Alligator mississippiensis: one gene and its partner. The protein of the gene in region 2 interacts with the protein of the main gene of each other region in a pairwise test. Links are inferred from orthologs where the notes say so. Each region holds a gene or a part of one and is shown on either strand. Other genes may lie near its edges.

Region 1 (10,798 bases), on a different chromosome or scaffold from region 2:
CTGGCCAACTATCTCATGTCATGTCTGCACACAAGCTGAGAGACAAATATCACGACCGCTTCAGTTCAGAACAGGCAAACAGGCATTAGACAGTGGATGCAGATCAAAACTGAGGTGCCTGAAAGAGGTTTTGGGGGTGGAACAGCATGAGTGGCAGCAGGTTGGGTCAGGTACAAGGGCAAAGCCAATGCCTGGGAAGGGGAGCCCAGGGTTTGCTTCTCTGTGTTTACAACTGCCCTTGCATGAATACCCAAAAGCGAGTTTTAAACGAAGATGAGAATTAAACAAATTATTCAAACCTCTATTAAAAATGGGGCAGGAAAGCTAAGAGCACTGAAAAACTCCTGAAAAATCTACTTGGCTAAAGAGGGTTCCAGGTGAGCAGAAGGAGACGAAGCTTGGAGGAGTGGAAGGGAAGAGAATGACAAGCAGCCACTTGTGAAAAGGGAGAAGAGGAGACAACAGCGCAGCCCTCCCGCGAGAGGCTGAACACAAAAGGATATCGGTGTTGTCGTGGCCCAGAAGCCCCAGGAGGGACTGCACAGCATTCAGCTCCACCAGCAGGTGATACAGGTCTGGCATGGTCGCAATCACATGCATTTCCTGAATGATGTCATTTAAATCCAGTTCAGACTCCATAAACCTGCAGACAGAGGCACAGCACAATTCATTAGCAGAAAAACAGGCAAAAAGCACACGGATGGGCTTCCCAGGAGGACAAAGCATTTGCACTAGCCCCCCACAAAGAGCCATTCACCCAGGCACAATGCCGGCGCATCACTTCCAACCAGCTCTGCTCACGCTGTCACAAGGCCAGTCGCTGGATCCAGATCTCACTGCAAATGCTCTGAGGGGCCTGTGCAATCCAATTCTTAGCCCCACAAGAATTTTAGGAGACTGCTCCCTATCCCATCTCGCTAGTTATATATTTTAGTTTAAGGAAAAAAAAAAAAGCATACAGGATAGGTGCAGCTGCTCGGCAAGACTGACAGCAAGGACCCTGCATAAACGAGTAATGGGGTTGAACTCTCCATCTCAACAGAACTGCGTTTCACAAGACATCTAATGCCAAGGTCTCCAGAGAGAGCTCTTTTCCCGATTTGCCTTGTATGTATTAGTACATCGGTTCTTTTAGCCCCCAACAAAGCATGTAAAGAGGATATGAGTGCTTGAGGCAGAGAGACCAAAAACCCCAGACAGAGACCCCATTAGGGAAAATCACTTTCAGCAGTATCTGCCTTTCAGAGAAGACTGTCTTTTGGGCATCTGACAGTGCGCTTCACCAGTGGGAGAAAGGACCGTGCCAGAGAGCAGGCAGCAACGTGGTACCAAGCACCAGCACCCTGCATCAGGACTATAGCCAACTGAGAAGGGGCCACAGGCTTTGTCTGCCACATCAGAATACATCTTTGGCTTCACACCAGCCAAACTCCTCTTCCCCACCACCATGGAAGAGGACACAACAGCAGCAACTGGCACAATTCAAATATGCCAAGAAATGGCAGGTGAGGAATGGGTGCTGCCACTGCAGCGGAAAGATCCCAGCACAAGAGCTCCCAAAAACCTGCAGTGTTCAAAATACTGCAGGTCTGGGGACACACTTCTGGGGGAACCTGTGGTTAGCTGATCTGACCCTCCCGTTCTGCCGAGTGCAGCGAGTGCTGGCAGTTCCCACAATGCGAGGCAGGATTCCCTCCACGTGCAAATGTCAGCTGCACGGAGAAGAAAGGAAGGGGCAAATTACTGCATCAAAACACGATGGAGAATTTATTCGTTTGGAAAATAACGCCCTCAAATTCACTCTCAAATTTTCACCCTCCAAAACACTTGCCATATGCACTGACAGAGTAAAACCCTCCTTGCATGTGGTGATAAGTCAAAGTGATGGGTCATTGGAGGGAGACAGCATCATGGGCAAAACAGAGAGGAAAGAGGTAACAATGAAGAGAAATGGAAGACAAGAAATGCAAGATCCAAAGGAAAACAATGCTATGACTGTACAAGGAGCAACAGTCTCAAGTAGCAGCAAGGCAAGTTTTAGGAAAAACTCTCACGAGGAGGGTGGTGAAGCACTGGAAGGGGTTACCCAGAGGTGGTGCAGTCTCCACCCTTGGAGGTGTTTAAGACACAGCTAGACAAAGCCCTGGCTGGGATGATGTAGTTGGGGCTGGTCCTGCTTGGAGCAGGGGGAGGTCACGACTAGTCCAACTGAGGTCCCTTCCACCCTCCTTGTCTGTGATTCTACGATGGGAACACTTTATAGAGGGAGAGTTGCAGCAGACGGACAATGACTTGTAGGAAAGCAGTGGAGACTAATGTAAAGGACAAGTAGAAGGAGGGGAAGCAAGGGAAACAGTATATTTTACAGAAAGTTTGCTTTATCCAATCATTTGAAAGTTGGCCAGCAGAAGGCCTGCACAGTTTTAGAGAAGGTAACAAATCTGTCACCATCCTGGTAGCAAACAAGGCCAGGACACCTCCTGACCTGGGAGCAGCTGAGCAGGTGGCACTTCTGCAATCAGGCCTCACAGTCAGATGTCTAAGAAAGGCCTGAGGAGACCACTCTAAGCTCCCACTTTTTTTGAATCTGAGCCCCCACAACAGATAAACAACAGACAATACATTTTAGATTATTAAAACATCTATCACAATTTTAAAGCATCATGAACACAGCAAGGAAATCAATATAGTTTTAAATAAAACAGAACTGCCTTCCCAATTCCTTGCTATTTTCCTTTTTGGGCTGCAATTGCCAATGATGGCTTTTGGCAGCGCACCTGCTACTAGAAGCACTCTCCGGAATACTCATTTTTTTAAATTAAATTATCTTTAATATTTCAAATAAAGTTTATGAGTAATATCTGGTTAAGTGCCTTTACTCCCGTGAACCTTCCTCCCACTAAAAGGGATAAGATCTCTACAGTTCAGAAAGGCTGAGGCTGGAGAGAAGGGGCAAGCAGCTAGGCAGAGGAACCGAGTAGGGCCTTACTTCTCTGGGTTGTCTGGGAATTTGATCCGCAGCTCTTGGTTTTTGTAAGACCTCTTCTCAAAAGTAAGAATCATCTTCTTCACTGAGCTTTCATCCAGTGGTTCCTCCTAGTCAAGGGGGAAAAAAAAAACCTCAGAGCTTAATCCTTCAAAGATGGCTACAAGAGCCACCTGGCAAGACACAAGAGAGTAATGAGCAGAGCATGCTGGCTGGGGCCAGCCTGGGCCCAGATCAAGACACGATACAGCAATGTAATGAATAACAGGTCCTGGAGGAAGCTCTGTGGAAGTCTCGCTGGAGAACATTTTCAGATTAAAAAGTCAAGTTAGCGAGATATGTTTCCACGAGGCCCGTGTATACGTGAGAGCATCTGCTCCGCACCTGAAACGTTTCCTAGCGGCACTGATGTGAACTGCGGTCCAAGGAAGTGACCTTGAAGGTCTGGCACGACCAGGTACAGCAGAGGCAGGCTGCCTGGAGGGGGCCACTCTTGGCAGAGAGGAGCAGGGCACTCGCACACCCTGCCGCAAAGACTCTCCGATCCTAGGCAGTCAACTGGGCATTTGCTTCTGTCCATTCATCCTCAGTCTCAAATGCTAGGGAAATCCTGCATTATCTGTCTCAGGCATCAGCAGCAGCAGCAGCAGCAATAGCTCAACATCAGAAACTAAAGGGAGATTTCAGGGAGATGAATGCTGGCAATGCTGCACACGAAGGACAATGATATTTTACAAACCCACGTGACTGCAGCAGTGAATATCACTTGCTTTCCATCAAACAGGACAGAGGTAGCAGGAAGCAAATATCTCCAGGATTCATAGCAATCTGCACGTCACATTTATAAAGTGATCTTTTCCTTGCCCTTTGGCAGAAGGGCCTGTCCTGTATCGGATTCCTGTCTCCTGGGCTTGAAATCATTTACCCTTGACAGCTGCTACCCCACTCCGCTGACCCAAGCCCTTTCGTCTGTAGAAGGATGTTTGCTCATTTGCTGCTGCTGCTGCTGCAGACCTCGCGAGGGGAGGGCGGCTGAAGCCGTGTGGCTGTGAGTACTGACGAGAGTAATGGATTTAGAAAACTAATTAGAAGCCTGAGGCTTTTTCCCCCTCAGAAATTTGAGAAGAGTCAAGCTGTTTCAGCCTAAAACAGATATTATTTGCAAAAGTTCCCTCCACACCTGCACAGAAGTATTTTTAGCTCTCCCCTCCCTTCCAGAGAAGCCAGCTTTGGATTCAGACAACTCTACAGCACCTTCTTCTTCCCTTTAAAGTCCCAGGGTGAAAACCCCTCTGCTTTGAACAGACACTGCTGCCTTTGGCAGACAACCCCTCCCTGCAGAGCATTGGCAACCAACCTCCTCCTCCTCCTCCTCTCCCTCTTTGTCCATTATCTGAAGGAGTTTCTTCTTCTCATCGTCAGCTTCCTCCAAAGCCGCGACATCCTCCTCCCGATGCCGAGTGCGCTCCCGCGAGCCGACTTGCTTCCGCCGGGCTTTGATCTCCTCCTCTTCCTCGTCGCGGGGTCTTTTTGTCCCCCTGTTGGGCTAAGGTGAGAGAAAAAGCATGTGGGAACAGAGTGAGCGAATCGAGAAGGTTTGCCCCCGGGGGTGGCTTGCATCCCGATGACAGAGCTTGTTTGTTTTGCACGCAGCTGATCAGAATTGCAGATCTGCCTACTATACATTCACCCGCTTGGAAAACTGGAAGGGGAATTAATTCAATTCACAGAACTAGATGAATGGCACCGGCAGGAGCTGTGACAATGTCCTACCTGCTTTGACCCTCCAACAACAACCACAGCAAATATCTGCATCATGAAAAAAGCCGCCGGTACTTCAAATCTGAGCGCTGGCCAGAGCAACCCGACCCTGGGGTTGTGAAGCAAACTGATTGCAAGTCCTTGGTTCCCAGAGGCGATCTCTCATGAGCCAATTCCCATGTACCTTCATGTTTTACAGGTAAAGGCCAATTCATTAAAGTGTCCAGTGCTGCACACACACCCCACAGCTCTCCCGGCTCAGACCCAATTCTTCTGTGTACCCTAATACCACCCCCACAAAGACCAGGGGAGTCTGGGGACACAACGAATGCAGAATAGGCCCTGCATCCGCACACCCAGCGCGGTACTGTTATTCGGTGCAGCTCTGCAGAAGATGGACCCCCCATCCTAGGCAGAACATGTGCACACTAGGGGTTGCTTGCGATTGCTTGTTTTCATCCACCGTTTGTAGTCACGAGGCAAAATTAAAGATTAAAGATAACCTGCCAAGAACAAGAAAGAACATGCGCTCCTTCCTCATTTAAGGTGCATCTGGAAAGCCCCAAAGGGCTTGTTGTTGGGACTTCTCGCCTTGGCAAAAAGAGAAATATTAAAATGAATCTCCCGTCTTTTGCAGGACAAGGAAATGGGAATAAAACCTCTCCACTTTATGCTGAAGAACCGCAGCAGGTTCTGCTCCTAATTGTTTTAACTGGTGTCCGGCATTAACAAAAAATGGCTTTTAAAGGGAAGCAAAAATCCCTTCCCCGTCCAGCTGCTCTAGTGCAGGTTGCACGGACTAAGGAAACAAACACCCTGCGAGTTCGTCACTCAGCCACGATCTTTCATGCTGAGCGGAGGAGGAAAAGCCTAACGTTTTATTAAACCACAGCAAGCTAACATCTGCTCTCAATGCCCCCCCACCCCCCGGTCTTCGTCAGCCATCCAAAGGCACAGCGAGGAAGGCGCAGATCTGCTTTGCAGGTCGTTATCTGCCACCTCGAACGTCACATGCCACTTCCAAGAACATGGCAGCTGCTGCCGCGCTGCAAGCCCGACTCTTCTGGAATCACAAATCATCAGCGGCGGAGAGGGAAGGGGCGAGAGCACTGCTCCTGCCAGGTCCCCAGAGCGCGCTGGCTTCAAAGCAGGCCCCTGCAGCTCCCCAGCCGGCGAGGAGCTCCAGCCCCCGGGGAGGGGACGCTCATTCTTCCCGGCTCAGAAGGCAAGACCTGCTGAGACTCCGATTAGAAGGAGCGCGCCACCACAGACCAGCTCAGAGGCAAAGCCAGGGAGCAGCTCATTTCTTTTCATTCGGTCCTGTATATACACCGTGACAGACAAGTCAGTGCGAGCGCGCCTGCCGACACAGCGCACACGTGGGCACTGGAGCAGGCCTGCGCAGGAGCCAGCTTTGCTTTTTAGATGGACATAAAAGCAGCCCAACTAGGGGCCGCTTTAGACTGCACTGGTTTAAACTAAACCGGTTTAAACTAAACCGGTTTAGTTTAAACCAGTGCAAACTGCACTGCTTGGATGGGCTGCAAAATCCGGGTTGGCAGAGCTTCAACGTGAGAGACGGCAGGACGGTGCTGGCAAGCGCTAAGCCCTGGTGTCCTGCCAGCTGTGTTCGGCACGCTACTCAACGCTATAGTCCCCCGCCGCTCTGCCTGCAGCCAGCGTCGCCCCGCAGCCCACGGGCCGCGTGACACGCCAGGTTCAGAGCCGAGGTTCCCTCCGTCCCCATCAGCATGTCAACAGCTGCTGAAGTGACAAACACGTGTACGCCGCTGTAGACCATTTTGGCATCTGCAGGACTGGATGCTATTTATTTTTTTAATTTAAAAAGCAAAAAAACCAAAAAAGCATGCCCTTACACGTCTTCAGGGCACGGTAACGGCTTACAGCGCCGCACGGATCAACTTAGGAACAACATATTGTCTCCAGCAGACAGTAATTTGAACACTCCCCTAGCAATTAGCAACACTCAGCGTAAAACCAAAATAAAGATGCTCTTCTCGCTAACACCACCGCAGGGAGAAGCCGAGGTAAACAGATGTGCCAAGCACAAGCCCTAAATAGTCGCCCCCGGTGCTGTCCCACACAGAGGGAAGCAGACCGATTCAACCGCCCCCTTCGCCCCCAGGTTAAAGGGCAGAGCACCTCCACTCATTCACACCAGCCCGGCAAGTGATTTCCAGGGATCCTCTGATTTTAAAAAATCCCCAATTTCTGGCTTTGAAAAAAAGGAATGCCAAACCCGCATTTTTCCATGATTAAAATGAAACACTACTATATAGCTAGATCAATATATTAGTGGCGTTTCATTTTAATCATGGAAAAATGTGAATTTGGGGTTACCTTTTTTAAAAAAAATGAAAATTGGGGATTTTTTAAGTCAGAGAAAACCAGGATCCCTGGTGATTTCCATTGGAAATTGGGCCTGACTTCTAGAGCCCTGGAAGAGTTTGAGAAAAGACAGCTTTTGCTTCGTATGCCCCCCTGTATGTCTGACCCCAGACTTCAGGCTCTCATTTCTCTGCGCCTCATTTTTTTAAATTAAAAAAGCAACGAGACTGTGGCTGCAATGATGGGCTACGGCAGCCCGCGCTTTGTCAGATGCGAAGTAATGTACCATAGGAAGAAACCACCCCACCAGAACAAATTCTAAATTAAAACTCCACCAGGAAACCAACTCCATTTCCTCTGAGCGTGCAATCTATATTATCAGCATTTACAATCTGCTTCAACCTCAATTATATTATCTTTTTTTGGGGGGAGGGAGGAGGGAAATAGGAATACATCTATAATATGTAATAAGAGTCATTATGATAAATTATGAAACCGCCTGGAGTGTAATTATTAATGCTGCCAACGTATTTGCAACAGCACATAATTGAATTCCCAGACAAACTTTGTTAAACAGGAGTTAAGGTTTAGCACAGCATCAGTTACTGAAGGGGGGCAACGTCTCGCTAAGCACACTGCGGTTATAAAAGGAGCAATAATAAAATCCAAGAAATCCAGAGCTGAAGTAAAATGCCTGGAGTTCTGCTCATTTAAAAGTATGAAGATGCAGAGTTGCAGCAGATTGATTGAGATCAGCAAGCCTTTATTTCAATTATTGATCTCAATCTCATTTTGCATTTGTCGTTTTCAGCTATTTTCTTAAAGAAAGGTTGATTCTTGCCAGCTGGTAACTGGTCACATGTTTCCAATTACAGATAGGCTTTATACTAAAATCGGTACTTTTGCTGACCGGGAACATGATATCTGTTTAAGCCATTATCCATCTTAACAAACATTTATGCAGTGCTAAATATTGCACCTTTTACAACACCACTCACGTGGTAAATAAAGGCTTTACTTCCTACAGAATGTTCTTTTTTTTAAACTCATGAATTGTGATATGCTGCATTTAGATGGAAATTTAATTACAAATACACAGGAACAAGAGTTTAAAACTGTTTATTCAGTTAAAAATCATAGCACGTGCTGCTTTATTAAAACATGTTTTTCATGTCAACGTATTAAGTGATTTGCTCGGAGGGTTTATGCTCGCAGTCTCTGCCAAGAGGTTAGAATTAGTGTCCTGTATATTTAGAAACCCCCTCCCCTCCCTCGACAAATCGGAAGAAGAAAACCAGCTTTCCTGCTGCTACCTCCCAGTCTGCAACTGAGCTGGCCCCAGAGCAGAACTGGCTCAAGAGCGGTGGAGACGAGGAGGCAGATCACTCCAAACAGCGACGTCTTCCCCAACAGCAGTCCGACTTCCTTGAAACTTCAACCCAAGCTCTCAACACTTGCACTTTTAAAATTTAACTGAAATTCTTTTCCCCGGATTGAAATTTCCTCGTAGGAAATTTAGGCTTCACTGTAGATAAGCAATTTCAAATTTAAATTTTAACAATAGTTTGTTTTAAAAAATGTGTTTCAGTGAAAAATCAGGTTTTTCTAAAGCAGACCTTTGTCTGCTCTGTGCACAGTTATGATGCCCAGAGGATGGCGCCTCTGCCCGTGTAGCTGACATTCAACCTTCGCAATATATTATGGTTGCTCTCAAAACCGCGCAGGTCTGCTTTTTTCATAGATTCATAGATGTTAGGGTCGGAAGGGACCTCAATAGATCATCGAGTCTGACCCCCTGCATAGGCAGGAAAGAGTGCTGAGTCTAGATGACCCCAGCTAGATGCGAATCTAACCTCCTCTTGAAGACCCCCAGGGGAGGGGAGAGCACCACCTCCCTTGGGAGCCCGTTCCAGACCTTGGCCACTCGAACTGTGAAGAAGTTCTTCCTAATGTCCAGTCTAAATCTGCTCTCTGCTAGCTTGTGGCCATTGTTTCTTGTAACCCCCGGGGGCGCCTTGGTGAATAAAACCTCACCAATTCCCTTCTGTGCTCCCGTGATGAACTTATAGGGAGCCACAAGGTCGCCTCTCAACCTGCTCTTGCGGAGGCTGAAAAGGTCCAGTTTCTCTAGTCTCTCCTCGTAGGGCTTGGTCTGCAGGCCCTTAACCATAGGAGTGGCCCTTCTCTGGACCCTCTCCAGGTTATCCGCATCCTTCTTGAAGTGTGGCGCCCAGAATTGCACGCAGTACTCCAACTGCGGTCTGACCAGCGCCCGATAGAGGGGAAGTATCACCTCCCTGGACCTATTTGTCATGCATCTGCTGATGCACGATAAAGTGCCATTGGCTTTTCTGATGGCTTCATCACGCTGCCGACTCATGTTCATCTTGGAGTCCACTAGGACTCCAAGATCCCTTTCCACTTCCGTGCCACCCAGCAGGTCATTCCCTAGGCTGTAGGTGTGCTGGACATTTTTCCTCCCTAGGTGCAGCACTTTGCATTTCTCCTTGTTGAACTGCATCCTGTTGTTTTCTGCTCACTTGTCCAACCTATCCAGGTCTGCCTGCAGCTGTTCTCTGCCCTCCGGCGTGTCCACTTCTCCCCATAGCTTTGTGTCATCTGCAAACTTGGACAGAGTACATTTGACTCCCTCGTCCAAGTCGCTGATGAAGACATTAAAGAGTATCGGTCCAAGGACCGAGCCCTGCGGGACCCCACTGCCCACACCCTTCCAGGTCGAGACCGACCCATCCACCACGACTCTTTGGGTGCGGCCCTCTAGCCAATTCGCCACCCACCGGACTGTGCAGTCATCCCAGTCACAGCCTCTTAACTTGTTCACCAGTATGGGGTGGGATACCGTATCGAAGGCCTTCCTGAAGTCTAAGTATACGACATTCACCCCTCCTTCTGTGTCCAGGCGTTTCGTAACCTGGTCATAGAAAGAGACTAGGTTGGTCAGGCACGATCTGCCCGCCACAAACCCATGCTGGTTTCCCCTCAGCATAACTTGTCCTGCCGGGCTCTCACAAATGTGAGCCTTGATAATTTTTTCAAAGACTTTACCAAGGATGGAGGTGAGACTGACTGGCCTATAGTTGCCCGGGTCCTCCTTCCTCCCCTTTTTGAAAATGGGGACCACGTTAGCCCTTTTCCAGTCCTCCGGGACTTGGCCCGTGCGCCTTAAATGCATCTTAAAAGCTTTTCCAACCAGGAGATCTTGTAACACCCTCTGCTCTCCTGTGAAGTATGAATTTTCATTTCCGCCTAGGAAAAATTTTACAATTTTTGTATTCTCCTATGCCTGAGGAAGGGCGAGCATGACCAAAAGCTTACAAATAAAGACTTTTTTTGCAAATATCTAGTTGGTGTAATAAAAGATATCACCTCTGCCACAAGTTCTGATTCTTAAAAGCTGGGCATAAGACCAACAGCAGGGAGAACACTGCTCTGCACAAGCCTTGAATGGCACAGGGTACTGGGATACGTGGGGAGCAGCAAGACTATCCTTAATCCCAAAAACAGGGATTAAGAGCCTAGGTTAAAATTAAACACCTGTGTGATCCTAGATGTGTTCATTTCTGCAGTCCTACACTGCAATGTCGCTCTTAGGAGGTGATAAAGGGAACTACGGGGAATCTTAATGTCCATGTTGTTGCAAACCTATTTACCGTTTGCAGTCCCTCCGCCAGGTTGCACCCG
Region 2 (10,138 bases):
CTTTTCCCTTGTCGCCCAGCCTTTGGTTTTGCTGGACCCGCTGTGGTCCTCCAGTGGATGCCTGTCCCCGCATCACCCGCTGGGTCAGCTCTACGCCCCTGAGGGCTGTACTTCGCAGCCCCTTACACTGCTCTTGCCTCCCGTCTCCCCCCTGGTGTGCCTGTTCAGCTCTCCCAGTGCCCTCAACGGTCCCACCTGGTCTGGCGTCTTGAAATGTGCTGGCCTCTCCAGCTCCTCTGCTGTGGCCACTGGCATTGGGATCTTCCTGTTCCCCTCTGCCCTTTCGTCTGGGTTCCCAGTCTTGGGGAGCCACCTCCGGCTCCTGGCTCCTTTTGCTGCAGCCAGCAGCGTCTGTCCCTCAGCGTGCTCTGCAGCATCCTCCCCCGCTGGGAGGGGCAGCTTCCGGCTCCTTTTGCCCCTGTAGGAGCTTCAGGAAGACCTCTTCTACTGGTGCTCCCGCCAGCGTTGATCTGCCCCCTCTGTTCTTGCCGGCAGCCCGTTTTATTTCCGCCGGCCGGCGATTGCGGCTGACATCATTGGCCGGACGCAACTGTATAAAGGCGTGGCTAATAAGCCGTGTGGGTCCCTCCTCAGGCTCCGGCTTCGCCGCGGGTCCCACTGTAGGTAAATATTTCCCTTTTCCTTTTCTTTTACTTTTGTTTCCCTCCGAGGGTTCCTGCCCCTGGGGTTCCTCCCTGGCATTTTGGGGTCCTCCTGTCTGTTCTTCCCTGTGACAGTCAGCTTCACAGTAAATGTCTTGTGTAGACACACCCAGTGTGAATCCTGTTGCTGCAACTAGTTCTTCCATAATACTAATTCTTTCATGACAGTTCTTCCATAAACAGAATTTTCAGCCACACAAATATTTCTCTGCTGCTGGGGGGAGGGGATGATAGCCACATTGCAAATCTGCAGAACCAGCAATAACCACTAACTCTGTAATGATAATATATTTTATTTTTCTTCAAAATAGGGGGAAAAACAAGCATTTCGCTCCTTTACCACTTTTTTCAGGTATATAAGAACATTTATTTCCTGATTATGTCAGCCTAGCTTCCTTGCTGGAGGCTTCAGAATATGGGTCCAGATTACAGGGAAGGAAAATTGGGTAAGTAGAGATGACAATTAGCAGGTAACCGGGACCTTTTTGTGGTTCTAACCCTCTGTGGATGCATAACCCAGAAAATAGGCCAATTTATCCTCCTAGTGTTGGGTAGGTACTGTAAGACTGTGACAGTAGCATAAGGAGGGTTGTGGCAGTGTGATTGTAGCTCTTTCTTTAGCCCTGTGTTGCATGCACAGTGAGCCCCTGGGGTCTGGAACTGTTTAAAATGAGAACTCTGTGCAGACCCCACGCTCACCAGCCAGTGAGATCATAGAACTCATTACACATGTTGGATTTTGGGCAGGAACTGTGTTGACATGCTGTGAGCTCAGAGCACTTACTGGCATCCAGGATCCTGACCAGGGAGGTGCATCCACACCCCATTTGGCTGTATGACACATGTACAATGAGCTCTCTTCACTGTGTGTGCCACATTGCTGAAGGGGTGTGTATGGCTGCACCCCCATTGCTCCGATCCTAGATCTATGGGAGCTCACTCAGTAATCCTTTCTGTAGTTGCATGTCTTTTTCTTGTAGGCCTATTTAAAGCATGCTGTTACTCTGAATAGTGGTTTTATAAGAATGACATTTCACTCAACAGTTTTTTTCTATGTGTATTTACTTGAGTTGGAAAAAAATATACTATTTTACTTTTGTCAGCCTTACAGTACCTACCCAACATGAGGAGGATCAATTGGACTATTTCCTGGGTTATGCATCCACAGAGGGTTAAAACCACAAAAAGAGTGAGGTTTTAAAAAGGTGACTATTTTAACATCTAACTTCTGGGCTGCTAGCTTGCCCAGCAGAACCCACAGCCATGATTAAGTTTCCTGGGGAGAGTTAGGTACCTCATAATGGGATTCACAACAGGTATTATGCAGCGCACATGCTTAACTGGTCAACAATAAATGTTGTTGTCTTCCATCCCTCTAAGCCTGAAGTGCCTAGTGTCAGGCTGCAGAAAAACGCCCAGAGACTTCTCTAGAAATTAGATACCTAAGCCCTTTCTTTCAAAAAAAGAAAACATTCTCTTTTTCTTTTAAAATATGGCTTTTGGAAGAGTTGGTGGTCGGGCTGATGCTCTTGCCTTGTGATCACAGCACTCTTATGAGAAGTAAGATATATGATTTGAACCCTCTCAGGTAGGAGGAAACTGAACCTAGGTCTTCCACGTACTGGGTGCCCACATGAACACTGGCCAAGATTTTGAACAAAAGCTGTGGCCATCACTGCATAGAAACCAATTATGTAGGTGTATGTTAGCAAGTTCAAGAGGGGGCCGGGTCCCTCAGGGATATGGTGAGGGGAGTGCCTAGTTTTTGGATCCCAATGGGTCTAAAAAGTGCAGTGGGGTACTGAGCTGCTCTGTTTGGTTACTAGGTATGAGCAGAATCTGAATTTTAGGTGCCCAGAGAGCTTCAGGGGTGATATGTAGGCATTTGCAGCCATTGCCTATGCCTCTAGATCCTAATGTAGTTTCTCAAGACCTACGTGTGGTATCATTAACATAGATTACAAAGATTACAAAGATTAACAAAGATTACAGTTAGATGCAAAGATAGTTTCTTTATCAATGCTTTGGATATATATATATATATATATATATATATATATATATGTATGTATATATGTGTGTGTGTGTGTGTGTGTACTTCTACACTTCTTGGACTTCTTATATATATGAGGAGTCGCCATGTACTTGTGCACCCCTACACATACACGTCTGCCAGGCAGCCTGGAGAGCAGCTCCCCACAGGTAAGTATGGCGAGGGTGGGGGTGGGGCGATTGAGGCCCCATAAGGATGGAGGGGGGGAGTTGGGCTGGGGCTGGGACTCCTGCCCAGCCTGGGCGATGTGTGGGGCTTGAGGTCTAGGACTGAAACATATGGCTGCAGGGCCTGAGCAGGGAGCGGGACGGGGCCATGAGCAGCTTGTGTGGAAAGTGAGGGCTGGCTCCCTGCTGCTGCTCACACTCCCAGGGGCATGTGCCCCCTCCAGATTTGTCCACAGGGTCAGGGTGGGCTGGTTGCTGCAGTCTTGGGGCTCCCCACCCTGCTGCCTTCCCCCTGGGGGCTCTGCAGCCCAGCAGGCGGGACTTGACACAGCAGGGCAGAGCAGGGCCAGGCAGAGAAGTCGTTGCCACCGCTGGGAGCTCTGTGTTGCCGTGGCAAGGTGCCCCTTGCCTGCCCAGCAGCAGCGAGGGGCACAACTCCTTGCCACCACTCCCGCAGCTGTCAGCGAGGCAGGGGGCATCTCACCAGGGCAGCATGGAGCTTGCAGCAGCAAAAAGCTTCCCTGCCCAGTCATGCTAGGTTCCGCCCACTGGGCAACAGAGACCTTGGGGGAGGGCAGCAAGATGGGGAGCCCTAGGCCCACAGTGGGCAATCTTCATTCACCCCCACCAACAGGCTCTGCTCTGCTCATGCTCTCCTTGGGAGAGGGGAGCTGGGCTCTGCACTCTGCTTTGCTGCAGCAGCTGCTGCCTCCTGCGGGCAGCAGCTGGTTCTTGGGCACTACTGCAGGGGGCTGCAGACCTGGGTCCCTAACCCTGTAGCCCTGGCAGCTGGGGGCCCCCTCTGGCAGGGCTGTGGGAGGTAGGGGGCTGTGGGTGGGGAGTGAGGGGCACCAGCAGGGCTGGGGTGGCTGTGTTTTGGGAGTGAGGGCCCTGGACCTGCATCCTGGTGAGTGAAGGGAGCAGGGGAAGCTCAAGTTTTCCATGATAAAAAAATCCAAAATCAAGTAGCAAAATGTATAGGTACTTAGAATGTATTTTATTATAATGATACAGGCACTGATAGACTTCCAAATTGCTTTAAAATTGTAAATATACCAATAAACCATTGTGTTCAGTTGATACCTATATATATATAGCGGCGTTTCATTTTAATTGCAGATTTCAGGTTGTGGGGGGAGGGTTATTGCAGAGCTTGCAATTTTTAAACAGAGAAAACCAAGATCCCTGCTAATCAGTTTCACCTTTGGTTTCACCTGCTGTAGCCCTGTATTGCAGAAGTAGGACTAAAAAAAGACACAGGGATATTCATACAAAACTTTTAAAGATTAAAATGTTTTTATTCTCTACAAAACTTTATATGGTAACAAAGAATGTATTTTAAGGCCTATTTCCTGAAAATACAAGTGTATACACCAGTGATTCTCAACCAGGATGCTGCACAATATTAGCTCTGTTGGTGTGTTAACCTAGGTTAGGCACAAGATAAACCCAGAAGTTTCAAATAGAAATCCATAGTTTCAAAAACATTCAGATGTGTTTTGGTCTTCCTAAGTTCTTTGTGACAGTAGAACTGTTCTATTATTTTTCTGTACCCAAAAAACCCCAAATAAGTAAAAGCTAAGAGCTGGTATTTTCTTGAATCTAAAAAGGTTTAAAATGGTTGAGAAGCATTGGTATGTACTCTACTTTCTATGTGAATCAGAATCAACACAGGTGCACTATGCCTGTAAAATCAGGGCCTAACCCACCACAGTCCCTTTGAATAGCACTGGCTACTTATTTTACTTCTATTTGTGGGGGCAGGGACAAGAAATGATGCTGGCTGTAGGCTAAGACATAAAGACTGTTTTCATATTGGAATGTAATAGTTTTGGCTGCCTCTTTCTAAATGTAATTTAGGAGAACTGCCTAATCTGCAACCCCAGAAAGAGCAGAGGATCCCCTGGCAGTGCACATCAGGGTGTTGTGCAGTATTCATACAGCATGTGGCCTGTCAGGTGCAGTGGTGACTGCGGTAGGAATCAGCTGGCTAGAGAGACAGTTTCAAGACCCATCATTTCCCAGCCTCTCCCTCCCAACTCTTAGGCTCACCAAGAAGCTGTCTGGGAATGAAGAGCTGGCTGCTGGCTCTGAAAGGTCTGAGGCTTTGATCACAAACGTGGTGATCATCGGTGTCCTGCAGCCACAGATCTCTACTTCCATTAACCAAGCTCCCCAACCAAAGGAAGCCTGATGAAGGGTGCTTGTGCCCGAAAACTTGCAATTAAAGAATTTTTTTTGCAAATATCTTGTTGATCTAATCATGAATGTTGCATGCCTCCTGAGGCCAGGGAGGGCGTGGCAACCTCCTGCAGGCGGCCATGGTAGTGGTGGTGTCGGTGGCAAGTGGGGAGCTTCTGTAGGTGGTTGCGGCAGTGTTTGTGGAGGGCTGGCCAGCTCTGATAGTGACCACCCGCAGACACAGCTGGCAGCGTCCGTGGCCAGTGGCGATTGCCCACAGACGCCACCAGCGGTGGCGGAGGCGGGTGGGGAGGTGTTAGCAGTGACTGCCTGCAGGAGCCGCCGGCAGCGTTAGCAGTGGCCAACCTCAGGGGGTGCACATGTACCCGTGTGCACCCCCTACGCGTCGCCAATAGGTCTAATAAAAGATATCACTTGTGTTCACGAGCCCTGGTGGCTTTTTCCAACCAAAGGAAGACACAAATCCCAGCAGCCCTCCTTGTCCAGGAGAAAAGCTTGTAAGAAAGGATGCCTCGGGGTTGAAACAACAACAAAAAAACCAAACAACCTCCCCCCCATCGAAAAGGAAACTCACCCCCAACCTTCCTGCTTTTTATCGCCGTTTCCCAACTTTGGGAGCTGAATACTTAGGGAAGCCTGAGGGGAAGAGGCATGGCCGGCACAGGCAGCCTCTTAGGCAGGAGGCTGGAGTGAGGGGATCGGACCCGCCCGGCACCCTGTCAAACGTGCGGCCCAGCCGGGGGCGGTCTCTAGCGGGAGGGAGCGGGGACCGAGGCGCGCCAGGAAGAGCCGCGCCAGCAGGACGAGCCGGGAGCCGCTGCCGCTGCCGCTGCCGCTGCTCAGGTAGCGACCGCCCCGCCCCGGGCCTCTCCCGCGCCCCGCCCCGGGCAGCCGGGCGCCGAGCGCAGGCCAGAAGGGGGCGCAGCGGGCCCCACGCAGCTGCGGGCGGAGCCGTGCGAGCGCCGAGGGGCCCCGCGCCGCCGCCGCCCGCCTGTCCCGGAGCAGCCGCGTTGTGGCGCCGAGCGGCCGGGCCGCGCCGGGCCATGGCTGCGCCAACCCACGACCAGGTGAGGGGCTCGGAGCAGGCCGGGCCGGGCCGGGCCGCACAGGGCCCCTCTCGCTTCCCGCCGAGCGCGGCCTGCAGCGGCTTTGGCGCCAATCGCAGCCCCGCTCCCGCGCGCCCGCCTCGCTGCTCGCGACGTGCAGCGCGGCCGGGTCCTGCCCTGCCCTGGCCCCCGGGCCGCCTCTCCTCAGCTGCCGGCTGCTTGCAGGGGCTCGCGGGCGGGGAGGTGGTCGCTACTGCTGCTTGGTGCTAAAGTGCTGTCCCGCTGATGGGCCGCGGTTTATCCTCACGCGCCCGCCTCCTTCCTTCCTTCCTTTCTCCCGCCGGGCAAAAACTGCAGGAAGTTTTTCCTCAGAAGTTTGAAAGTCCGCCTCCGCCTCCGTGTGCTGTGGCCTGGAGCTGTGCGGGCAGGAGGCAGCTTTTCCTCCCCTTCGGGACAGTCCGGTCTCGCTTCTGCCCGGACATAGTGTGTCTATTTGACATTTAAATACAGATATATTCGGTTTGAGTCTTTTTTTGGACACCTCAGATTTGAACTAAAAGCCAGTGTCCTTCTGGCGCGCAACTCTGCAGCTTGAGTGGCTGGCAAAGGAAATGTGGCAGCAGCCATGCTCCACCCCCTCCATCCTGCTGCCTGCTCAACATGCTGCGAAAATCGGGGGGAAAAAATCAAACCCAGGGGTTTTAGTGCTACGTTTAAACGTACACTCTTGCATGTCAAAAGGTAAAACGTTCTCCCCCCATCACACCCATGGTACTGATGTGAGCTCAGGGCCTGCAGCTAAACGTGAGGCATTTAACTCGTGGTGAAGCGCCCTTCCTCGAACTTCTGTGCCGAATGTCGTTGGGGAAGATGGTGTTACTGCCCCTTACACTTTGCCTCTCAATGCAGTGGTCAAGAGGGTGCAAAAGGACTTCCATTGTAATTTGGATTTGGTAAAAGCAGGCTGCTGCAGTAGATGCTATCATGGTTTTAACAAATCCAGAGATGCTGGGTAGAAGTTACCTGAGTCACTGCTTTGCAAAAGGCCATCTTTTGAAAAGAGGTTCTGGAAGGCTCAACTTGTAAAACTTTTAATAGTAATAATAATTCTCTTCTTCTGTCTCTTCTCACTCATGGACAAGGTGTTAGTTTGGACCCAGGTTCTGCAGACACCTGTAACTTCAAGTCTCTGTAAACGCTGGGAGAATTGAGGCCTTGGGAATGGGTGTGTAGGTTCAGTTTTACATTTCTGAGCAAGGCTGTTGAGCTTCACTTGCTTCAGATGTCAGTGAGGCTACTCAGGCGTGCAAAGTTACTTGTTTAAGTGTTTGCAGAATCGGCACCTCCTTGAAGCATTGTTGCAGGATTGTACCCTCGTGTCATCACACCAGTCAGAGCTAGTTGTAGTGGCTCTAATTTAAGTTATGGGGAAGGTAGATTTACGCGGTTTGCAGTTGAACACAGAGTAGTGCCCTTTTATGGAACATTTCAGAAAATAGTACGTTGACTTGCATGCTTATTGAAGCCTGGTGAACAACTCTGTGTCTGGTTCTGCCATAGCACTATAACCATCTCTGTCTATAAAGTAACATAGCAGTATTACTAGGGATGCTGTGAGGCTATTAGTGGTTGCAAATAATTTTGAGATGTTTTGGCCAAAAACGTTTAATGTAAGTGCAAAGTATTTACAATGCCTGGTGTTACACGGGGGGAGCATTTTTACCTGAAGGAAAGCATTTTTTTCTATAAAATTAAAACCCAATACATAAATGTAGACTTTCAAGGGGAAGTGAAAGGGAGAGAGAATAGCTATCTTTTCTAATCTTCCTCTTCTTTCTCATAGGAGTTCTTGGGGGGGGTTGATGGGAGCAAAAGAGACTGCAGTTCTGCCCTCTGTCTTGTGTATTCCTTCTTTCTGTAGAGCTGATAGCAATGTGTTTATTTCCTGCTGAGCCTCATGGAGCCATACCTTCAGGATTTTAAATGTATGCCAGGGCTTCCTTGTCTTCAGGTGCAAAGTTTGGTAAGATATTCATGACGTACTGCGGACAATTACTAGCCAAGTAGAGAATAATAAACTACTTTAGTCACAATACGTACTTGGTTTTCTAGGTGTTTCGGTTGGCAGACAATATAATTTATGCACTCTTTGAAGAAGATAGGAATATGTTGGTCCAGTCCCAGTTCTATAGACGTCTTCAGGGTAAAATTGGAGTTGTATAAAATAAATGTTGCTCTTTACATGTACTTCACGTATGGGGGCCTGGTATGAATGTCAGGTATGGCAGAAATCCAGGCATTTTAAGTTTTAAAACTGGCATTTACTAATTAACTGAAATTTTGTCACAAAAAGGCAGCCATAAAATCCTAAGGTTCCAGGTCTGCAAGTGATTTTATGCAGATAAACCCATGTGCTTGCATGAAACTGTTCAAGTCAGTAATTCAGCAGTCACCTGCACAGCTTATGTTGAAGTTGTTTCTGTACTACAGTAGTTTATATGGCGGCAAACTCAGGATGCAGTGGCATCATACATGTATGCTGTTTGGAAAACCAAGATTCAGGAGTAGGTCAGAGATCTCAAATAAGACAGAAGTGGTCTTAATTCAGGCAAAATCATCTAAGTAACTAGGTGCAGCAATAGCTAGTTAGGGCAGGTAGAGCAGTTAAGGTATTTGTTTATATATCTAGAGGTATGAGAGGGTTTTTCCCTTTTGGTACGGCATCTGTGAATGAAATTCCCTTCTTCATATACATTCAGATAGTGCTGGACATGCCAATAGATTTACTTGGACCACCCTGAATTATGATTTTAAATGAATTTACTTTGCCTGAACATTTCCTTCAGTCAGGATTATTTGGTTCGACTAACACAAACACATTCTGTGAGGGAAGCTAGGGTTTGAATTCAGCATCCGCTGTCTGCTTCATGGTAACTGCCTGCTGTGATAATTGAGAGTCAGGCTACCTTGGCTTTACCTTAGGGTCACAGCATCCATGTAGGAAGTTATGGAGGAGCAGCTAATGGACTATAAGTTCACACCCTGGCTTACTTCACTGTAATTTTTATGTGTTTTTCTGTGTTCAGGCCCTAAAACAATGGAGGCTTTGGTTCACCTGGTATAAGAGTGTCCACACACAGATTTGCAGAGGTTGTTGAACACCATAAAAATTAATAGCATCTTCCTAGATATGCCAGTTTAAATAAAAGAACATCTTGTTAATTTTTAAATGCAGTACACCCTCATTATAATAAATCTTGTTCATAACAACAAGCTGTTTCTTTTAACAATCCCACCAGCAGGAACTGATAACTTTTCCCATTATTATGGCATAACCCTAGTAGAGTAAACACCCTTTTTAAAATGCCCTGTCTTCCTGGTTGGTTGTGAGGTTGTACTGTAAATGCACCAAGAATAGATTCAGGCTCAGCTCTTTAGTTCTCCGTCCCAGATTTTGTATTTGGGTTTCTTGGGGATTTGTTTTGTTTTGATTTGAATTCCTGGTGTCTAAAGGTCCTAAACAAACAAGGAAACAGAATGAATTTACAGGAAAAACAGTGAAATTGACTGTTTACTGTATCAAAAACTACAAAAATAGAGAAGAGGTTGCTTTCAATGATATAATAGCCATCTTTTTGTGTGGAAGAGCATGCTGTCACAGGTAGCATATGGCTGATACTGATTTATTAAAACTTTTTAAATGTAACTTGCATATGTATTTAATAAAACAGGTTGACTATATATTATTTTTCAAGATTTCCACTGAATAGAGCTCAGTTGTAAACAAATGTATATCTCTTTAAATGGTCCAGCCCTTCATAATGGAGCTGCAGAATTGTAAGCCATATTTCATTTTGTCTTTCTCACATTGGCCAAGCTGACTATTAAATTCTTACCTCAGAATTTTTACTATTGATGAAGCAAAATTGGAGCCCACTTGGGTACGTGGTTCATTTTTATTTGCTTGTCAAGGCAAGTGTAGTATGTAAGGATCATAGTAAGAAAAAT

Evidence for each region.
Region 1: the proteins of CDCA7L (region 2) and CTNNBL1 interact in binary tests that used the Homo sapiens proteins (3 or more experiments, as listed by UniProt). The link is inferred for Alligator mississippiensis from reciprocal best matches to the Homo sapiens genes CDCA7L and CTNNBL1.

The regions. Positions count from the first base shown.
Region 1 is NC_081832.1:819,112-829,909, reverse strand, and holds the start of CTNNBL1 (beta-catenin-like protein 1), read right to left. Parts: upstream 4,817-10,798; 5' UTR 4,805-4,816; coding exon 4,760-4,804; exon of another isoform or gene 4,640-4,759; intron 4,538-4,639; exon of another isoform or gene 4,533-4,537; coding exon 4,344-4,532; intron 3,097-4,343; coding exon 2,990-3,096; intron 644-2,989; coding exon 504-643; intron 1-503. UniProt on the Homo sapiens protein: Component of the PRP19-CDC5L complex that forms an integral part of the spliceosome and is required for activating pre-mRNA splicing.
Region 2 is NC_081828.1:159,782,636-159,792,773, forward strand, and holds the start of CDCA7L (cell division cycle-associated 7-like protein), read left to right. Parts: upstream 1-5,997; 5' UTR 5,998-6,127; coding exon 6,128-6,151; intron 6,152-10,138. UniProt on the Homo sapiens protein: Plays a role in transcriptional regulation as a repressor that inhibits monoamine oxidase A (MAOA) activity and gene expression by binding to the promoter.